4 linked regions of the Arabidopsis thaliana genome follow. The protein of the gene in region 2 interacts with the protein of the main gene of each other region in a pairwise test. Each region holds a gene or a part of one and is shown on either strand. Other genes may lie near its edges. The genes, in order: ABI4, BRK1, ABI3 and DIS1.

What was found.
Region 1: the proteins of BRK1 (region 2) and ABI4 interact in a two-hybrid assay, tested with the Arabidopsis thaliana proteins (one study listed by BioGRID).
Region 3: the proteins of BRK1 (region 2) and ABI3 interact in a two-hybrid assay, tested with the Arabidopsis thaliana proteins (one study listed by BioGRID).
Region 4: the proteins of BRK1 (region 2) and DIS1 interact in a two-hybrid assay, tested with the Arabidopsis thaliana proteins (one study listed by BioGRID).

The regions. Positions count from the first base shown.
Region 1 is NC_003071.7:16,795,716-16,799,465, forward strand, and holds ABI4 (Integrase-type DNA-binding superfamily protein), read right to left. Parts: upstream 1,871-3,750; coding exon 884-1,870; 3' UTR 532-883; downstream 1-531.
Region 2 is NC_003071.7:9,621,081-9,624,866, reverse strand, and holds BRK1 (BRICK1), read right to left. Parts: upstream 1,871-3,786; 5' UTR 1,585-1,870; coding exon 1,452-1,584; intron 1,054-1,451; coding exon 929-1,053; 3' UTR 532-928; downstream 1-531. Other genes in the region: AT2G22650 (FAD-dependent oxidoreductase family protein), read left to right, coding at 1-164; AGL17 (AGAMOUS-like 17), read right to left, coding at 3,226-3,360, 3,518-3,601. UniProt on the Arabidopsis thaliana protein: Involved in regulation of actin and microtubule organization. Part of a WAVE complex that activates the Arp2/3 complex.
Region 3 is NC_003074.8:8,995,442-9,001,716, reverse strand, and holds ABI3 (AP2/B3-like transcriptional factor family protein), read right to left. Parts: upstream 4,348-6,275; 5' UTR 3,807-4,347; coding exon 2,127-3,806; intron 1,927-2,126; coding exon 1,834-1,926; intron 1,689-1,833; coding exon 1,588-1,688; intron 1,455-1,587; coding exon 1,408-1,454; intron 1,291-1,407; coding exon 1,214-1,290; intron 1,102-1,213; coding exon 937-1,101; 3' UTR 532-936; downstream 1-531. UniProt on the Arabidopsis thaliana protein: Participates in abscisic acid-regulated gene expression during seed development. Regulates the transcription of SGR1 and SGR2 that are involved in leaf and embryo degreening.
Region 4 is NC_003070.9:4,493,374-4,499,025, reverse strand, and holds DIS1 (Actin-like ATPase superfamily protein), read right to left. Parts: upstream 4,103-5,652; 5' UTR 3,633-4,102; coding exon 3,586-3,632; intron 3,492-3,585; coding exon 3,032-3,491; intron 2,660-3,031; coding exon 2,513-2,659; intron 2,262-2,512; coding exon 2,169-2,261; intron 2,034-2,168; coding exon 1,914-2,033; intron 1,493-1,913; coding exon 1,382-1,492; intron 1,302-1,381; coding exon 1,176-1,301; intron 1,093-1,175; coding exon 994-1,092; intron 903-993; coding exon 822-902; 3' UTR 557-821; downstream 1-556.

The sequences.
Region 1 (3,750 bases), 7.2 Mb from region 2:
AATTAAATTAATTATTAATATTGAAATATTCATGTATAACCCAGTCAGATATGGGATTATTTTTAATTTAAATTTTGTATAATACTGTTAAAAGATTCGAAATATAATCATAAACAAAAAATAAAATTGATTTTTTCTTGTCAACTTCCAATAAACACCATAGTAAACAAGAAATCACAGGACAAGGGAAATACAGAAACGGAGAACTCTTTTTAGTCAAAGAAAGCTAGGATTCGGACAAAATCATGTCCAAACACTTTGAAGGATGATCGATACAAAAAATTGTAAACTTGAATATGAAGTGTTGGTGTGAGAATACCCAGCTCGAATAATGTAAATAATCTTCTCAACGACAACAATTATGCATCCAGTGATGAACACTTTTTGAAAACGTGTTTCTCTCCATAGTTTCTACATTGATGATTCCTATATTACTAAAACTTAATAGAGATATGTGTAAATATTCTCAGAGATAAACAAAATATAACTATATATAACCTCTGAAACTCGAACAACCAAACAGAAATTATCATATCCTATCAATAATTATATATTAAGGTAGGCACACTGTGAAGGAAGTGTTGAACCAATAAAATTCCCATACAACTTTCCACCATCTCCTCCGATTCTCTTCCACATATACATACTTTATTGGAACCGTAATCTCTTTTACGAATTCCTTGAAAATAAAAATCTTCAAAAAAATAATAAAAATACCCTCTTATTTATCTCTATAGGTAGTAAAAAAATCCTCCAAAATTTTGCATGCAGAGCTCCTCATAGAATGCAATCTCTTTGATTCCTCTCAACAATGAATCTCCAATGCTCTTGACCGACCTTAGGGATGCTCATCGTATATAATATGATCTTCCACAAAAACAAATTAATAGAATTCCCCCAAGATGGGATCAATAAAATCCCAAATACTCCCCCAATTATGACTATATTCTTCTTCTCCTCCAAAAGGCCAAATGGTCGAAGATCCATCTCCAACCATATAACCCGGATCCAGACCCATAGAACATACCGGATCAACCAACGGCGGTGGATGAGTTATTGATAGACTCGAACCCACCGAACCAGCTAGAGAGTTCAAATCCTCCATCGAACTATTATTATTACACCCACTTCCTCCTTGTTCCTGCCCTAACGCCACCTCATGATGAAACGAAGTCGAATTAGTTACCGGAACATCAGTGAGCTCGATGTCAGAAATCTTGTTATTGTTAGTATTAGAATGAAGATTCTGATACTGTTGGTGTTGGAATTGTCCCATCTGGACCATCTGATTTTGTTGTTGTTGTTGTTGAGGGAAAAAACCATAACTAGGGCATAACATAGAGGTCCCACCATTAAGGAAGATGTTGTTGTTAAAAGGGATACCGTACGGACCAAAGTTGGCTCCTCCTCCTACGGTGGCGGCGGCGGGGCGAGGGAGGAGAGGTCTTAGGGTTTGAGTGGAGGAAGAGGAGGTGGAAGGAGAAGAAGCGGCGGAGACGGAGGAGGAAGAGGAAGAGACGGAGGAAGGAGACGAAGGGGTTAAGTTGAGCTGAGCACGTGACCCGTATAGGTAAACGGCAGCCCGGTCGTAGGCACGTGCGGCGTCTTCGGCGGTTGCGAAAGTACCAAGCCACTTGCGAGTGCGCTTACGTGGCTCTCGGATCTCGGCGACCCATTTGCCCCAGCTTCTTTGTCGAACGCCACGGTAACGGAACTTGGAGTTGTCCGGACCACCTTTGCCTTTGCGTTTGCGTTGAGCGGAGGAAGTTGATGAGTCGGTGGTGGAATCGGATTGAGGATTATTATGGGTTAGGGTTTGGTTATTATCTTCCAGATGGTTGTGTTGATGTTGGGAAGCTAAAGGGTCCATAGATGAAGAAGAAGAAGAAGAAGAAGAGGAAGAGGAAGTAGAGAGAGAAAGAGAGAGATTAAAGAAATTGAGAAAAATAGTGGAGAGGACGAATCAAGAAGGAAGGGAAACTGAAGAGTGTTTGAATGTCATCGTTGTGAATGGTCGATTAGGGCGGTGCTTCTTTTATTTATACTTACACTCTCTTCTCACTCACTTCTTTTTTTCTTTTCTTTTTACTTACCCGTTTGTTTTCTACCAAAGAAGAAATTTGTGTTGTCATAAGTTACTTGTTACACATTGGAATGTAATCAAGGATATTATAAAAACATTTAATTGCTTTCTTTCTTTTGGGTAACTATAGCAAATCATGAGCGATATATAACAATATCTTGAAGTTGGTTCTTTTCTTTGATTGGATGGGTAATTGTGAGAAATACTCGCATGTTGAAAACACTCCAAGGCATTCAGATTTCAGAGGATTCAACCAGAGAGAACTGAATCAAATTCACCAAGGTTAGGAATATTGCAACATATATAAGAGAAATAAGCGTGTTCAAAAATATATATTAAGAGAAATAAGAAACGAATAATCTAAGATGGAACAGAGATATCATTTTTGTTTGTTTTTCTAAGTACTTGTCAATTTAAATTGTAACAAAAACATAGCAAAAGATAGGCAATTTAAAAGATTAAGAAGATCAAGTGAATAAAACAGTAGACAAAGATAACAAAGAAAATGATTTATGAGTTCAAGAATTAAAAGCATCGTTTAAAGTTGGCAAGCAATGAAACTAGAATAAATCATTACATAACGGCTAACGGGGGCTGATTAGCCATAAATTGTAGAGAATGAAACACTAATCAATGAATAATTACAAAGCGTGGCATGAATTACCCAATTTTGTTCAACTCTCTTGCAATTTAAGTGGTTAACAAGCATTAACAGATAAGTATACTAAAAAGGATCAAGGTAATTAATCTACCATTACCAACAACCCTAGTAAAAGATCTAAATGCATTTTTAATAGTGATCTTTATATTTTCCTCTATTTATAGAGGTGACTCTATTTTAAAGGCATTATGTTCAAATGGTCACCTCTAAAATAGAGTTTTCTCTATAATAGAGGAAGAAATAGAAATATTTACTTTTTGTCTCTATAAATAGAGATCTCTACAATTCATCTCTAATTTTTCTTCTATTTTTGAGGAAACTCTATTTTAGAGGTGACCATTGGAGCACAATGCTTCTAAAATAGAGGCACCTCTAAAATAGAGAAAATTATAGAGGTGACCATTGGAGATGGTCTAACCATATTCGCCCCTAATTTGGTTTTAATCTAACTTTTAGTGTTGAACTTAACCGAAGCTTCTATACTTGATGATTATGATCTTAGAGAAAAATTTAAGCTGTTGGGAAATCACCTTATGATACTATTTTTTTGATGTTTTATCTTTATACGTAAAATAAAATTGTAAACATAGATATAATTAAGGGATCGGAGGAAAAACATCTGGTACAACACGTATCATATTTTTGGACATAAGTAAAAACTAGAATCATATTTCTGGAGTAGTACTTGTTAAATTTTGGAGAAGAAAAATAAGTTGATTTGCGCACTCGGAGAGTGTTGCAGATCCATTGCCTGCTGCAGCCACTGGAGGGACAGAAATACAGATGCAGAGAGACACAGTAATTATTTTTCTGCTTTCATTACATAGATATATGTGTTCATTTAGTCCACTTAACACCATTCTTGGAAGACGACTTGGCTTCAGTCAAATACTTCGTCCGATAGATTTAGATTTTGGATACTACACCTTTTATTAATCTTAAAAAAGAATTATGTAGAAATTTAAAATACTCACATGTCAATGGATAAATAAATAAATATATTAAA
Region 2 (3,786 bases):
TAGGTGCTGGTCAGTTTTGCAACTTCTGGGTATTTTCAGGGCTCGGATCAAGGGGACTACTCTATCATGCTTGGCTTGGGAAACTCATGTCTAAAGCTGTTTTAAGTTGCAATGAAGAATTACTTCCTTCTGAACTAACTTCTTGGAAGAAAAACAGACAATAAGAGTACCATTGTTTACTTCTCAGTTCTCACTCTTGTTTGCAGCTTCAAGCTTGGAAGCTTGGTCAACACAGCAAATCTCAATTCAGACAAAACAAAAACTGAGTTCAGAATATTTTTTTAAAAATGGTCAATCATCCATAGTCTACAGAACTTTGTGGTTTAGGTACGTAAAACAGAATATTTTCAACAATGGCTTGGTTCTATGGTTGGTCCGCGACCCCTGGATATCGTAGGCATCCGTGGGGTGATCTCATAGTACGTACGGGTGGAGACGATTAGGTCGGTCTCGATGAATCCGAGTGGAACTCAAAAAAACAATGTGAGTCACAAATGCAGACAGAATCTAATGGAGGAAAAGAGATGTGAGCTTTTTCGGTTTTTTCTTCCTCCATTGATGAAAAAGAAAAAATGGGCAACAAGAGCGTTTTACATGTGTTCCACTTTAAGAGAAAAGACGAATATACAAATCCGATGCATAGAAGATGAAAAGGGTACCTCTGCAAAGTTTATAAATCAACAGCAGAAGAAAGCAAAAACTTCAAGAGTTCAACGAAATGACTTGTCATTCAAAAGAGATCTTAATGGACAGAAAAAAGATACACATATTTATGAATAGATTCATATTTTAAGCTACTAGTTTACTTACTACCACAGCTATGTGAAGAAAGAAAGAATCATTCAATGGTACACATTCAACAACAGACTTCTTCTGTTAAAGCCAAAGGATCAGGCTCGGTTTCGATTTCGATATCGTCTACGGTGTTTCACGTCGCAAACAGAGAAGGATTTGCTGTCGCGGTACTTACTTGCACCTCCAGCATTTCCAAGCGACGTTCCAACAGATCCAACTTCTCATTCAAAGAAGCCAACTTGCTCTTTGTGGTTGATTCTGAAACACACAGAGAAATTACAAACTCACAGACATCAATGACTTCGATAATCAAATTAGCTCATAAAAGAAAGTTTCATCACACACAACATTGTCTAAAACCAGCTAGAATTGAAGCTGAGAAGATCAAAGAGATCATTACAAAGATCTCTCTTAGCACATGGATCTAAGACCATACAAATGCAAATGAAATCTGATCATCTCAACAATTAAAAAGGTGAAATTTTTCACTAACCAACCACCAAAATCAAATCTCCCAATCATCAAAAACCTTACTTTGACAAAAACTCTAAAACAAAGTTTCTAAATTTAGCAAATACGAAATCGAGAAAACTCCAAAATTAGTCAATTGAATTCAAAACCCAACACAGAGAAATAAGTGAGAGAGTGAGGTTTACCAAATTGAACAAGGAATTCGAAGAGACGACGAACATTAAGAGAGATATGTGAGATAAATTCTCGATTCTCCCAATCTGCTTGAACAGCGATTCCTACGTTTACTGCGTTCGTGATCCCTCCAGCTTTCGCCATTATTAAACCCCAAAACTCTCTCTTCCACAAACACAACAGTACTCACAGATTTCGATTTCAAATTCTGAAGCTTTTTAAATAATTCGCCCTTTTTCGATTCAATCCAACGGCAGAAATGATTAAGCAATCGATTAGAGAAGGAGGGTCACCTTCCTTTTTTGGTGTCTCAGAGAAAAAGTTTCTGAATTTTATCGTAGGTTGTTTTTCTTTTAGATGATGTGTGATTGATGAAGAAGAAGTTAAGATTAGAAGAAGAAACGGGTGTTTTATGAGATAAAGAGGAAATATAGGGGCTATTTTATAATTTAAGATATTTGATATTATGTGGTTTGGTTTAATATTTTGGTAGATTGCTTAGTTAGTGTTCAATCTTTTTCGTTCTATTCAAATGTCACTATCAATTAAAAATTGAGCAATTCTTGGTTCTTCGTGCATATATACTATTACAACCAATCTTTAATCTTTGAATTCAAGATACGTTTGTTTTAAAGTCAAGTGAATTATTCGGTATGCTCATTGGTTGTAACTTGTATAACTATTTATAGGTTGTATCTATAATATTTACAAAACAGAACACATATTTCATCATACTAGAATAATTTTAAGTTGTGATTATTTCTGATGAGGCATAACTCATTGTCTATACAACAAATCAAATTTTGAATGGTTGTTCAATTAGCAGTAAACCGGACTAATTATATCAATATTTTTGTAGGTTAAAAGTGGATTACAGTATGCAAAATATTGGACAATAGTATATAATAGAGTGAACTGTGTTTACAATCAAATTTAAGCGCTAAATCAAAATCACTAAATTAATTTATTCAAACCGAGAAACTTATAACCCTCTACTTTTGGACTAAAATTTTGAATCACATAAAATCCTATATTGTACGACCGGTGAAAATTTACATCCCAAGGAAATTAGGGTTTATTTTTCTTCTCCTAGCTCCTCTTAGTTTGATTTCACATCTGAGATTTTTTTTACTTCGTTTTTGTTATTTTAATACGACCAAAAACATAATCTTTTCAGAGATATGTTAAACAATGCAGTTTTCATATGTTGGTCATGGTCATGTAACTTCGTTAATTTCTAGGCTGACTTTTTGCATCGTTTTACCTGAAACGACAATATATAGTATACTCTTTTTGTTTTGCAAATTTTCTCTAAACTATAGAAGCAATCATCTCAAATGAATCTCCCTTTATTAAAAATCTCAATGACTAACAAAAACAAACACACACACACAAAAGTGAGCTCTGATTTTACTTTAGGTAAAGTATAGCTTATATACTAAACCAACCTATATCACACTCAATTTTTTTAGTTAAAATATATATTATATATGTAGTTCATGTATGTCTTAATTATGTACTTAAAACCAAATGTGAAAGCTAAAAAGAATATAATCGAGAAGCTGTTCCATTGCTTTCACTTGAGACCATATATAAGTATATATCGTACAAATCAAACCTTTGGTTTGCTCTCCGACATGATTACACTCACACTTACTCCTGCATGAAAACATATATATTGACATAGTCAAACGAGTCTTCATATATAATATGCACGTATATATATTTGAAAGGGTTTTGAGATAATCAAGAACGAACAATTTGTTATATATCTCTTATATGATCTTAGCTGTTTGAAGATGTCTTATAATGGGACTGCTCAGGCTGGCTTAGCTGCAGCCTAACCTGTGCATGGGATTCATAAACTGCATCTACTAGCTCATGATGTCCCAATCCATTTGTGTTCGACGTTCCATAAGCCTGTATGCAAGACCATTACCACAACACACTTTTGTAACTACGTACGATCTCAATAATTAATTATTGAGATTTGTCTAGTTTCAACTAGGAGATTAATTTGATTTAAAGGATTTGTTAGCTGCAACTTGAAGTAATGAAGTTTGTGTTTCTATTTTACCTTCTTGTATAGTTCGACATTTTCTTGATGAATCCTTTGTACTTTTCTCGACAATTCGAGGTTTTCATGATGAACAAGATTCCTCTGCAAAAGATAAAACACTTATAAGAACCTGAAAACTAGAAATGATAACATTGATTAATAATGCGTTTCAAACTTAAACACAACATCTTTAGTATCTTTTCTCAAAGAACAGATTTTTTTGTAAATTGCAAATGCAAACACAAACCGAAGAAGAAACTAAAAATATCGTTTGCATTTTACATCTG
Region 3 (6,275 bases), on a different chromosome or scaffold from region 2:
TGCGGTCCAGTTTTTGGGTTTAACCAAAAATAAGAAAGAATAATGATGTATCACAAACAACACACTTATATGAGGAAAATTATAATCCTACCTCACTTGTTTTTTTCCTCCAAAGATTTTCGTTACTCAATAATACAAAGGGTTCAAGCTAACTAGATAAACAAGAAAATGATAGAATCAAAGTGGTAAGGAACAACTCTTCTTAAAATGTCCATATGTAAACATTCTATTTACAAATATTTACAATGTGAATATGTGAATGATATGGATAATTTTGTACATATGTCCATATGTACATTAATTATCATTTTGTACATTAATTATCATTAATTATCATTTTTACTATCATTAAATTGTCCATATGTCCATATTTACAAATAATTTTGTACATTGATAATGATAATTAATGTACAAAATTAATTATCTCAATTCCTTCTTAAATTGTCCATATGTCCATATTTACAAATAATTTTGTACATTAATTATCATTTTTATTATCATTATCAATGTTTGTGTAAAAATATTGTATCATTCAACTCTTCTTAAAACATTCACATTATAAACGATATGTAAGCTCGACTCAAGAAATGAGCCACATATGTAATATTAACCAATTACAACAACAAAAGAACTATATAATCATCTCTCCAGAAATATAACACAAACACCATTTCCAGAATTAATCATCTCTACAATATCCTGAAGGTAAAAAGAGTAAAGAGTTATAAAAGAACCGACTCGACAAGAAAAAGCAAAAAATGGAGTAAAAACCCGGACCCCGACCAAACAGCTTTAATCATGACCCTCCATTTGTCTTCAAGATCCCATGCATGCACGAGAAGTGGCACACTCGGGTACGCTGCCATTTTTTCCTTTTGCCCTCTTTCTTATTTGGTACATAATAATATTTATATTGTTTCTTTTTGTCTCTGTTTTTCATTTAACAGTTTGAGAAGTTGGTGAAGCGACCACCACATTCGCCGACGGAGAGTTATTGTTTATGTTCCTTTGCGACTTGTTTTGTCTCTTCGTAGCTGCTGACGACGGTGGGGCCTCCGGCTTTTGTCCGCTCGGTTGTCTTACTTTAACCCCTCGTATCAACTGTCATAATATTATTCTCAATTAATTATGACAAGATAAATACCAACAAAAGTAATGATGAGAGTTAAATACTAATGAAAAGTATAGAAAAATATTGTGATGCTTCTCTTACATATTTGCCACATTTGACGTCGGAGTATATGACTATGAAATCACCTTCTTGGAGCCCATTGGTTTTCACAAAATCGCCTGTAAACGTAATTTCAAGGAAAATTAGATATGTATGCGTCCACAACAATAATTACAAGAGAACAAACAAACCAAAAGAAAGGAAAATTATTAACGGGTACATTTTCAAAAACGTACCGGTGTTCTCGAGGAGATACATCCTGCTTTTGTTGTTAGGCCAAAACCTGCAAAACCAATTTAAGAAGACAATTAAATAACCGAAAAAACATTTTGGTCGAGTTCCAATTTTTGACAAAATACACGAATTGTTTTTATAAAAAGAATCAATGTTAACATGTTAGCATCATAATCAGTTACCTGTAGCGCATGTTCCAAACACGAGAGGTTCCGATGTCTTCCATGGCCAGAGAGATGCCGTCTCTTGCCTCTAGCTCCGGCAAGTGTGTCTCAGCTTCTTTCTAAAAAAAATAAAAATTCAGTAAAATATAACTTAACCAATAAGAGTAAAAATAAAATAAAAACTTGACAATATTTTTACACAAACATTGAACCTTTTTTAGAAAATGGAAAGCAAAGGCTACAAGAAATTAGAAGAAAAATTACTTTTGGCAAAACGATCCTTCCGAGGTTACCCACGTCGCTTTGCTTCAAGACTTTCTGCAAGAGAAACCGCAAATTCTTTTCTGGTTTCCATCCCTAAAATCAAACCAAAAAGATCAAAATCATTTCATTTCCATTGCAAATGTATAATCTTCCGATTCACATTTTATCAAAAAAAACACATGTAAAATCTTTAGCTTCTTCATCAAACCAAACGAGTGGTGCAATTACACAAACTATTCGAGTATTGCTAAATTAAAGAATAAACAATGAGAAAGATGATTGTGCATGTCTACCTGCCGGCGATCTGGTACCACCTGCTGACGTGGCATAGCAGAAGCTGAGCCAGCTCGGTCCATGGTAGGTAACTGAGTCTCCATCACTGGCGGTAATTGAGGCGGCACTGCCGGGACATTAGGCCAATACATCCAGGTCCCTCCCGTGGCGGTTGTGGCCACGGGGTTAAGTTGTGGAGCCACCGCGGCACAGGTTTCTCCGATTTGGGTTTGGTTCTGCTGATTATTGTTGTTGTTGTTGTTGTTGTTGTTATGTCTGTGGTGATGAGACAAGAACCTCCTCTGTCTCGCCATCCGTTTCTTTCTTGCCTCTTTAGTTGCTGAGGAACACAAACGGAGTAATCTCTGATCTCTCATTTGTCCTGCAGGAACATAAGGATATTGGTACGGATTCATGTTGTATCCATTGAAACCTGTTGGATCTCCAAATTGATTATACTGCGAGGTTGGCGGCATGGGGAATTGTTGATGTGGCATGGGACCAGACTGTGGTGGTGGTGGCCATGACGGTGGAGATTCAAGTAAAGGAAGGAACTCTGGCTGTGGCGGATAGTTTGGAGCAGGCATGTATCCAAAACCCGGGTCCGAGACAAAAGCTTGTTGTTGTGGTGGTGGAGGAACCCATGTTGAAGGTGAGAAACAGGTTTGGTCGGACGGTGGGATTAGGTTGTTGTTATTAGGGTTAGGGTTTTGAAATGGATCTTGTTGGAATGATTGTTGATAAGAGAGGTTGGTGGTGGTGGTGGTGGTGCGTCTTCTTTGTAAGTGATTAGTTTGGACCCATTCAAGAATCAGCTTTAAAAGCTGCTTCATCGCTTCTTTACCACCGCCTAGTCTTCTTGCCGCTGATTCAATCGTAGCTTTCTTTATCTTTACTTTCCTCAAATCCTCAGCCGACACAGTCTCCTTGTTGTTCTTTAGCCACTCCAAAAACACAGCAGCGAGATCATCGTCCTGTTCCAAGGAAGAATTCATCATTTGCATGTCTCCACCACTGTTATTCTCCATCATCGGAACAACGACCTGGTCTTCTTGTCTCTCAAGGGTTTGGTCCATCAAGTTAGGGTTTTGCGTGTCGTCGTCTTGGCTAAATATAGCTGAGGTGTCAAAGAACTCGTTGCTATCAAGTAGATCCATGTACCCGAAAGTCTCCATCATATCAATGCAATCACCACCGCCTTCGCCGCAACCAAAACCTTGACTGCTGTCTAATGGAATCTCCATGGAAGCTGTGGATTGCAATGCACCAGAAGAGTCGTCACAGTTTCCTGATGCGTATTGGTTTTGGTTTGGAGTCGGATCTTCTCCATCTGATCTCAATATAGCCCAAGAAGCAGCTGAGGAAGTGGAGGAAGAAGCTGCCGAAGAAGAAGAGGCTGAGGAGACGATTGCGTTGACAGGAGCTGGAGATGTTGAAGACGATGATGAAGACGACATGCATGGGAAATCAGGAAGCGTTGGGAGATCTCCATAGAAGATTGAAGGGTCATGATGAACAATCAAATCATCATCTTGATGACCATGAACATGATTATTATCTCCTCCATGGTCATCTAACCAGATCTCTCTACCAACTTCATCAATTCCATCCATCAAAACAGTATCATCAGCGTCTCCACCGAGTATTCCACAATCCTCAGCCAGATCTCCGGCGTTGGCCGCCACATGCAAGCTTTTCATCGTTGAAGTGGAAATGAAACAATAAACTAGATTGGTGGAGAGAGAAAAGTTAGGGTTTTTAGTATTTTGTACGGACAGATAGGGTTTGTATGTGAGTAAGGAGGCAAGGAAAAAGAAAGTTAACCCAACTTGGCTATCATCGAATCTTTAAACAACATAAACTATCTGGCTATACATATACATATAAACCTTCTATACTACTATATAATCTTTTGAGATTCAAAAAGAACTCTTGATAAGGTTAAAATTATACAAAAGAGACGAAGGAGGATCCAAAGCATATGAAAAGATCCGACCTAAGCTAACTATTTTCTCCAACTTCAGATGAACAAAGACCAATTGTAAAGAGGTCTAAAATTTTCGAGTCTAGATCTGAAGTATACGAGATGTGTTTTGTTCACAAAGATTGGTCTTTGGTTCTAATAGAACAGAGAGAGATGTTTAGGTTTTACTCTTTTAGAGAGGAAGAACTGATGAACAGCTAATAAGTAATCTAAAACCGTTTGGGTTTACTCCAACAAGAAGACTCTCTCTTTCTTTCATTTTATAAATTATGGAGAGATGGTATATATATATTTATAAAACTATATAATAAACATGGTTAAATCCCTCAAAAAAGAAAATAAATTAAAATAAGAGAGCCCATGTGTTCCAGTTTGTTCCATGATTTATATGGAAGTTTTTTTTTTACTAATATAATTCAATTGTATTGTATAAAATATGTTAGATTAAACTGAACTCTTTTTTTTTTCTGGCGGTAAGTGTAATTTTGGGTTTAAGTTATTCTCTTTCTCTTTGCAGCATTCAATTACCTCAGCAGAAGGAAAAGGAGAGAGACAAGAGTTTTTAAGAAAAAGAGATGTAACAGTTTTTCAGCATTTGATTTTTCAAAGAAGACAAAAAGCAAACGTTTAAATTTGTGGCACTATTGACAAAATTGTTGAGCTCATAATACTTACAAACATTTAAAATTTTATTTAGATAGTAAATCTCCCCTCATCTTCTAAGAAATAAAAACAAAGTTCCTCGAGAGAAAGACATTGGTTTTGAAATTAAATGGTGCAAAAAGCCATATTTAAGTCGATAAAAAAACTTAAAAACAAAGAGAAAATAGAAGTCTCCTCGTGCCGCTAGTATCTAAAGGTTGGTACAGGAGTTTGTGCCCACGAGCCATACGTTCGAATTTGAGTGGTGAGACCAAGCGGTGGTTCTTAAACACTTCTTTTGTATAAAATATTATAAATTTTCCAATTATCAACTTTCTACTTCCTATGTGCAAATGGTCACTTTTACAAAAGTAAGTTTCCTCGGTCGGTTTTAAATTATCTGGCCAAAAAGATTCGAAAAACTTACACTTTCCTATTGAAGTGGAAGAGGCAGACACGGATTTTATTACCCTAGAACAATTACTTTAACATATTGTAGAACAATGTATGTTTTTGTGAGTTTTTTTTCTTCTTCTTTCTTTTCTTTTTTCTGCATGAGGAAAACAAAACAAAACTTTTAGTGTATTTGTAAAATATTTAGTTACAAACAGGGTTCGACCTTGCCTTCAAAATGAGATTGAGCAGATCATGTGATACCTGTTGTAGAAAGAAATAGGTACTTGTATTTATTACATTTTAACACATCAAAATTTTAGTGTATTTTTTTTTCTTGGGAAAATTCCTATTTTCCCGATTACATTTTAACACATCAAAATAGGTACTGTGTTTTATAAATCTGAACAAACAATTAGTAATGTTCATACTTTAACATTTAAAAAATTCAAATTATCTACCTCAACTCTTACTTTTGTACATAATTATGAGTCAACGTTAGTTATGGTAATTAACAGTAACGGTTGTTGAATCAGCTAACACTTGTACGTCGAGATGGCATGTTCTTCAAACCAAATGACGTTGTTTTACGTTTTGAGATTCAAAAGTTTTAAAGGTTACCATTACCATCATGCACGAACATCATCAATATATAAATAATAATTTATAGATATATACACATACATAAATTGGAATTAAAATTAATCATATAACGTCGGTTAGGATTTCCCCAATTCTAAATGACATTGTTTGATTAATTTAATTCCAATTTGTTGCTATATATCTATAAATTATTATTTATGTCTCGATAATGTTTGTGGATACGATGGTGATGAATATGTGAGGTTGGGGGTTCCAGTTTTTCGGTTTAGTTTTTTAAAAGTAAATATTTTTAATCCCAAAACATAAAACAAAATTATTTTATTAAAAAACATGCCACCTAAACGTACACGTATCAATTGAGTCAACAACCGTTACAGTTGACTAATATTTGTTAATATTGACTTGTAATTACGTACAAAAGTAAACGTTGAGATAGATAATTTGATTTTTGTAAGCATTGATGTATATATCAGTACTAGTCGTTTGTTGAAATTCAAAAACATACTTTAAAAATTGTTGGGATCGAAAAACCCTTTTTCTTTAGTTT
Region 4 (5,652 bases), on a different chromosome or scaffold from region 2:
TTGAGAATCCGACAAACTCCGGAATTGTTTGAACGCCCAGAAACAGAGCTTTAGCGAAAGAGTTTTTGATGAGATCGGAGGAAGAGAGTCGTATTCGTCGAGACTCGGGATGTTCTCTTTCTTATCCGATAGAAGAAGAAAAAATGAAAGAAGAGCTTCACCGTGATGTCAACAGTTTGTCTTAACAAACTTTTTTCTTTTACATGTTTTTTTAGTGCGTTTATACAACAAGCTATAAATGTAATAATGTATTTTGTAGAACATATGAAAGATATATATATATATTTTTTTTTCCCATGAAAGTTTTTTCCTTTATTATTAACAACAGAATATCTTACATTACTCCAAAACCAAAGAGTAATGAAAGATATTTGTTTTGAGTAATTTAAGAAAATGATTTTGTGTATTTTACCCAAAAGAAGGTTTATCTATTCATGTCTAATTTTAAATATTATTAACTAATTTATAAAAAATAAAACACATCATAAAGTAGACAAAACTTAATTATCATGTGTTTCATCTAGAACTTAAGCTCTTGAGTGGAATAAAAGCTTATAAAAAATGATAACTTGACAATTAGACGATTGATAATCCGGAACTTTTCTGTGGAATTTAATGCTTGAGTTAACAGAAAATAATATGAAAAAAAAATCAAACTTCTACATACTTTTTTTCTTTAATTTGTCTGAATAATAATATGACTTCTACATCAAGCCTAGCTTACACTGTGTGTACTCAAGAACCCTAAAGTCAGTAATAGAAATGGAGTAAAGCAGACAAACATTCACAGAATCTGCTGGTGAATTATTTATGAAGCAGCTTCAATACATTCCCTTGAACACCGGATTCGTGCGGCATATGCTTGCTCCATATTCCTCATACTCCTCTTTCGTTCTGCAACTCTGCAACAACAAAAATACATCTTGTTTCAAAACACGATCAAGCCATGAGGTTTAGCTTCAAACTAGCGGATCTCTAAACTAGTTTGCATACCGCGAAAAACTCAGGAGTTGATGAAAGCACAGAGCCTCCAAACCAAACTGCAAACCTCTGGACAGGATGGCTCACGACATTAACCTCCACCGGTTGAGACTGTGGTTATAAATAAATATCACCTCAGATTAAGAAAACTGGTTATCACTTTTATTTTCCAGAATATCATACAATTTTCTTACCGTAATTTCACCACCAGTACGAGCGTTATTAGCAAGAACACGAGCATCAACAATCTTCTTGAGGTCCCTTTGTAACCTTCTTCCGAAATCTTTGAACATAGTTGAACCTCCGGACAACACTATATTCTGAAATGATTTCACAAATTCATCAGTATTGCGGATTGGAAATTATCTTAAAACTCTGACCAGTCTTTGGCGTTTCAAACCTTATATAAAGCTCTTCGTGTGTCAATTGGTGCAGACTGAATACATTTGTCTATCACAGCTGGTAAAGTAGTTGTGAAGTCATTGCTGTATATCTCTGGATTAAAGAACACCTGTAACACACAAAATCTCAACATTACTCATCGGTAATAGCAGAACAAAAACGCAAGAACAATAAAGGAAATTATGTTCCACTTTCCAGTTACTCTCTTGGTATAGAGATACAAAGGAGATTAGCTTCCTATGGGTCCAGTAGTGACAGCTGAATTCTAACTAGATAAGAATTAGTTCCAGACTTCCAGTTAACATAATGGACTAAGTAATTACCTAATTTGAGTTTCTGAGAGAGCATAGTTTTATATCAGTACCGTTCAGTAATCAGAACAGAGTGCTGAAAATATCTTATAATCGATAACAAATCATGAACAGCTCACTGACATACTAGAAACTCATGCACCAGTAAAGATATCCAGTCTCCGATTCTGGTTATCTTATCAACTTACAACTTTTTATAACAGATAGATGGTAACAAACCTCGGGTCCAAGGAATCGTTCATATCCCACGTCGCAAGTGTATGGTGCACCAGTCTTTGGCTTTACACCTTTCCATTGTTTAATATACTTTGCTGGTTCTTTGTCATGTTTATTAAACTCCTGCAACCATATGAATGTTCTTTATCAATATTCCTATATTCTTTTCAAGCGATTTCAGCATACAGGCCAGTAATAAATTTTCAGAAGAGTATATATTAATATTATCTGACTTGAATATTCACCACTAAGGATTACCTTTACGATGTCAGAACAAGTGTAGCAGTACATTTCCTTCACTTTACGGGCTACATCGAATGAATCTTCTGGTGGTATATTCTCACCTCTTTCCTACAGTAAACATTGAAACGAGAAGTTACATGAAGTTAATACATTAATCTAAACCAGTAAACACCCTCTCTAAGCATATGAGCACAACATCTAAAACAAATAAACAGGAAGCCTAGCTACCATACTCAAAGCTTGGATTTAACACATTTAACTTCTGTGCCTTTAAAATCTTAAAATGTCACAGAGAAAGAATGAAAACCAACTACAAAAGAAGACCAAGACTAATATTAAGATAATAAATTAGTGCATACCCGCATGAGTTGCTGGATAAAGAGGGTGACATCTTTGCCAGCAATTGGAATCGATTTGATACAGCTCCCGATGACATAACCTTCTGCAACAGGTACAACATGAGTTGCCCCATCTCCAACATCTACTACAACCCCTGTCATCTCACACTAAGAAGAATTGTAAGTCAAATTAAGAGGCGAGGCGAGCATAACGAGACAGAACAAAAAACAAGAGAACATGTTTAATATTTGCTAAATCCCACAAAGCTCGGAAATTGTCTAATGTTGGTGAGGTTACACTAACCTATTCTTGAGACTCAGTCCCTAAAACCAAAACTGAATAAAGTATAATTATGACTTGATTTAAGGATTCACACAGTCTACAAGCAAACTTAAACAACTAATAGCCTAAATACATATCATTTCATCCCAGCAAACAACTTAAATACATATCATTTCATCACAGCAAGTAGGCTAATACATAGCATTTCATCACAGCAAACAACGTAAATACTTGGAGAAAAGAAATGTGTAACATACCTTTGATGTTGTGTAGCCAGCAGCAAGTGCAAGAACTGAATTAACAGCAATGTAAAGCCCAGGAACATTAAAAGTCTCAAACAAAATTTCTCCAGTATATTCTCGACTTTCAGGAGGAGTAAGAGGACTTTCAGTAAGAAGAAAATAATGATCCTCAGGATCACATCTCAAATAGTTAAATATACACTGCTGCCAATATCTCTCCATAGCATCCCAATCCTCAACTTGACCATGCTCAATTGGATAATGAAGATTATGAGTACTACTAGACCGCGATTTCGCAAGAGCTTCATCTCCAATATAGAAATCGAGATCCGCAGCAACTCCAGCGTTGTGCTGAGTTTGCCAAGTTGCCTTAGAAGAACTCTTGGATTGATTCAAAAACGACTCGTTTACTGCAACTACTGTTGGTAAGATAAAACATGGCTCTACATTACCCGCAAATCCCATTTTAGTATACCTGCAATACACACACACACAAGAATGAATCTAATTGCAGCATTTCATCGAACACGTTAAGCGCATAAACAAATCAAACCTATCATTGAACGTACCCAGTTCCATTGTCGATGACAATAGCGGGTCGAGAAGTCGGATCCATTAGAGAAACTAAGCCGGCGATCTCTAAAGCAAAATCAGCTCACCAGAGGGTGTGAATGGAGATCCAAAACAGTATCCGATTAGAGATCGATTATCTCTACCGTTTAAACACTAGAGAACCCTAGAATTTTCCGATCGAACCTAAGCTTGCTTCTTTCTCGCGCCTTCCGTCAACGGAAGTTGAGTTTCCGACAAGCTACCACGTAATTTCTCGTAGGCTATGAGAAACAATGTAGGGAGAGAGACAATGAGAGAAAATTGATTTTCCCGGAAAATCAGAGATTCACGTGAGATTCAGCGAAACGGTCAGATCATAGAGAAAGTCGCCGTCGTCGACTGGTACTTTATCGTGTGAGATTTTTCCGATAAAAAACAAATGAAGTTATGTACAACTACTGTTTTAAATTTTGGCTTCGTCCTTATGCGCTGTGGTTAATTTGGTTTTCCAACCCGACTCAATAACCAAGTCTGATTTAAAAACCAAACAAATTTCAATAACATTGAATTGAACCATACTGGGCTGATTATCATCATTACAAATTTTGTTTGGATATATAATATACTGTAATCGTCTTTGTAAACAAACCAAATTAACTAGGGACTTTGATAATATAAAAGGTAATCATAACACAAATAATGTTCTGATATATGATATATGATATATGCCTACTGTTAATTGGATTAACTCAATATTAAGATGTGTGTAGTGAAGACAGAAAAACAAACTTATGATAAGGACGCTTGAACCACCGAACAAAACCCATTAAAACTTGAGATTGAAGTCTTGTTACTACTTTACTACACAGTAGTTATCATGAACTATGTTCACACGGTCTCGAAAAATGGAATCATATCAGTCTCAGCCTAATCCTATTGAGTAGATAAGCTTAAATCATCATGCATGTCTCACTCATACCGGTCCGTTTAAATAACAAAATGAAAATGTAGCCCAATGTTTTAGCATTTAAGTGTAAAGTATGACCTGTTTTCAAGGTAATAAAATTTCAAAAGACCCAAACAAAATAATTTTTAGTATAAATATGCCCAAATATATAAATTTTTTTTTTTAACATGAATATAAGGTCCTGAATTTTTATTTTGCCCTAGAGCTTTAAAAATTGTTGGGCTAGGTTAGTCTCCCTTGCAACAGATTTCTTTTTCATATATATTTTTTATAGTCAATGTTAGGTGGTATGTGTAAAACTACAATGCGAATGAATATATATTTTTTTAAATGGCTTGATTGATCTCATTCATCTAACGAATTACTACATTCGTCCAACAAATTACTAAATTCGTTAACGCAGATATGTGATACTCAATTCACTAGTTTTTTCAATTTAATATTCGCCGTTTACGAATTTGTTGGCTATCGTTTTTAGATCAGTCACATTGCTGTAAGCATCTCTTGCCGACATGTTTTCCAGACGACTCATTGTTGATCTACCAACGTTCTTCAAAGCTCTAAAGAATGCACTATTTTTTTCACTTTAGCAAAAAATAAAAATAAAATATAAAGATGTAACCGTAAAGAAAAAATATTACAAAGCGCATTTTGTACAAATTTTATTGATAAAGGACGATCTAAATATATTTTTAAGATTCTACAAGTTTTTTTACTTATAAATACTCATCAATGTATTAGCAGTATTATATTCGAACTATCAAAACAAATATTTGTTTATTGTTTTAGTTTTTTTTTTTAAACAATGATTTTTTTTCATGATCATGTCAAGTTTATTGATTAAAGAGATTTGGGGGTAAATGAGGTGTAATCATAATGAAATATACAATACTCATGTTTTAATATTCAATATGGTTAAGATTGTTTAATTCAGATAAATTGAACTGTATCATCAAGAACAAAATGAATTTTTTAAAATTCAATTTGAAGGAAAAATCAAATACCACCTAACCGATTGCATTGAAAAGAGAAAAAAAACTATATTTGATATAAAAAACCGTTGACAAAACAACCATATTCGAAGCAAAATCAAATTTGTATCAAATTACTTTAGATG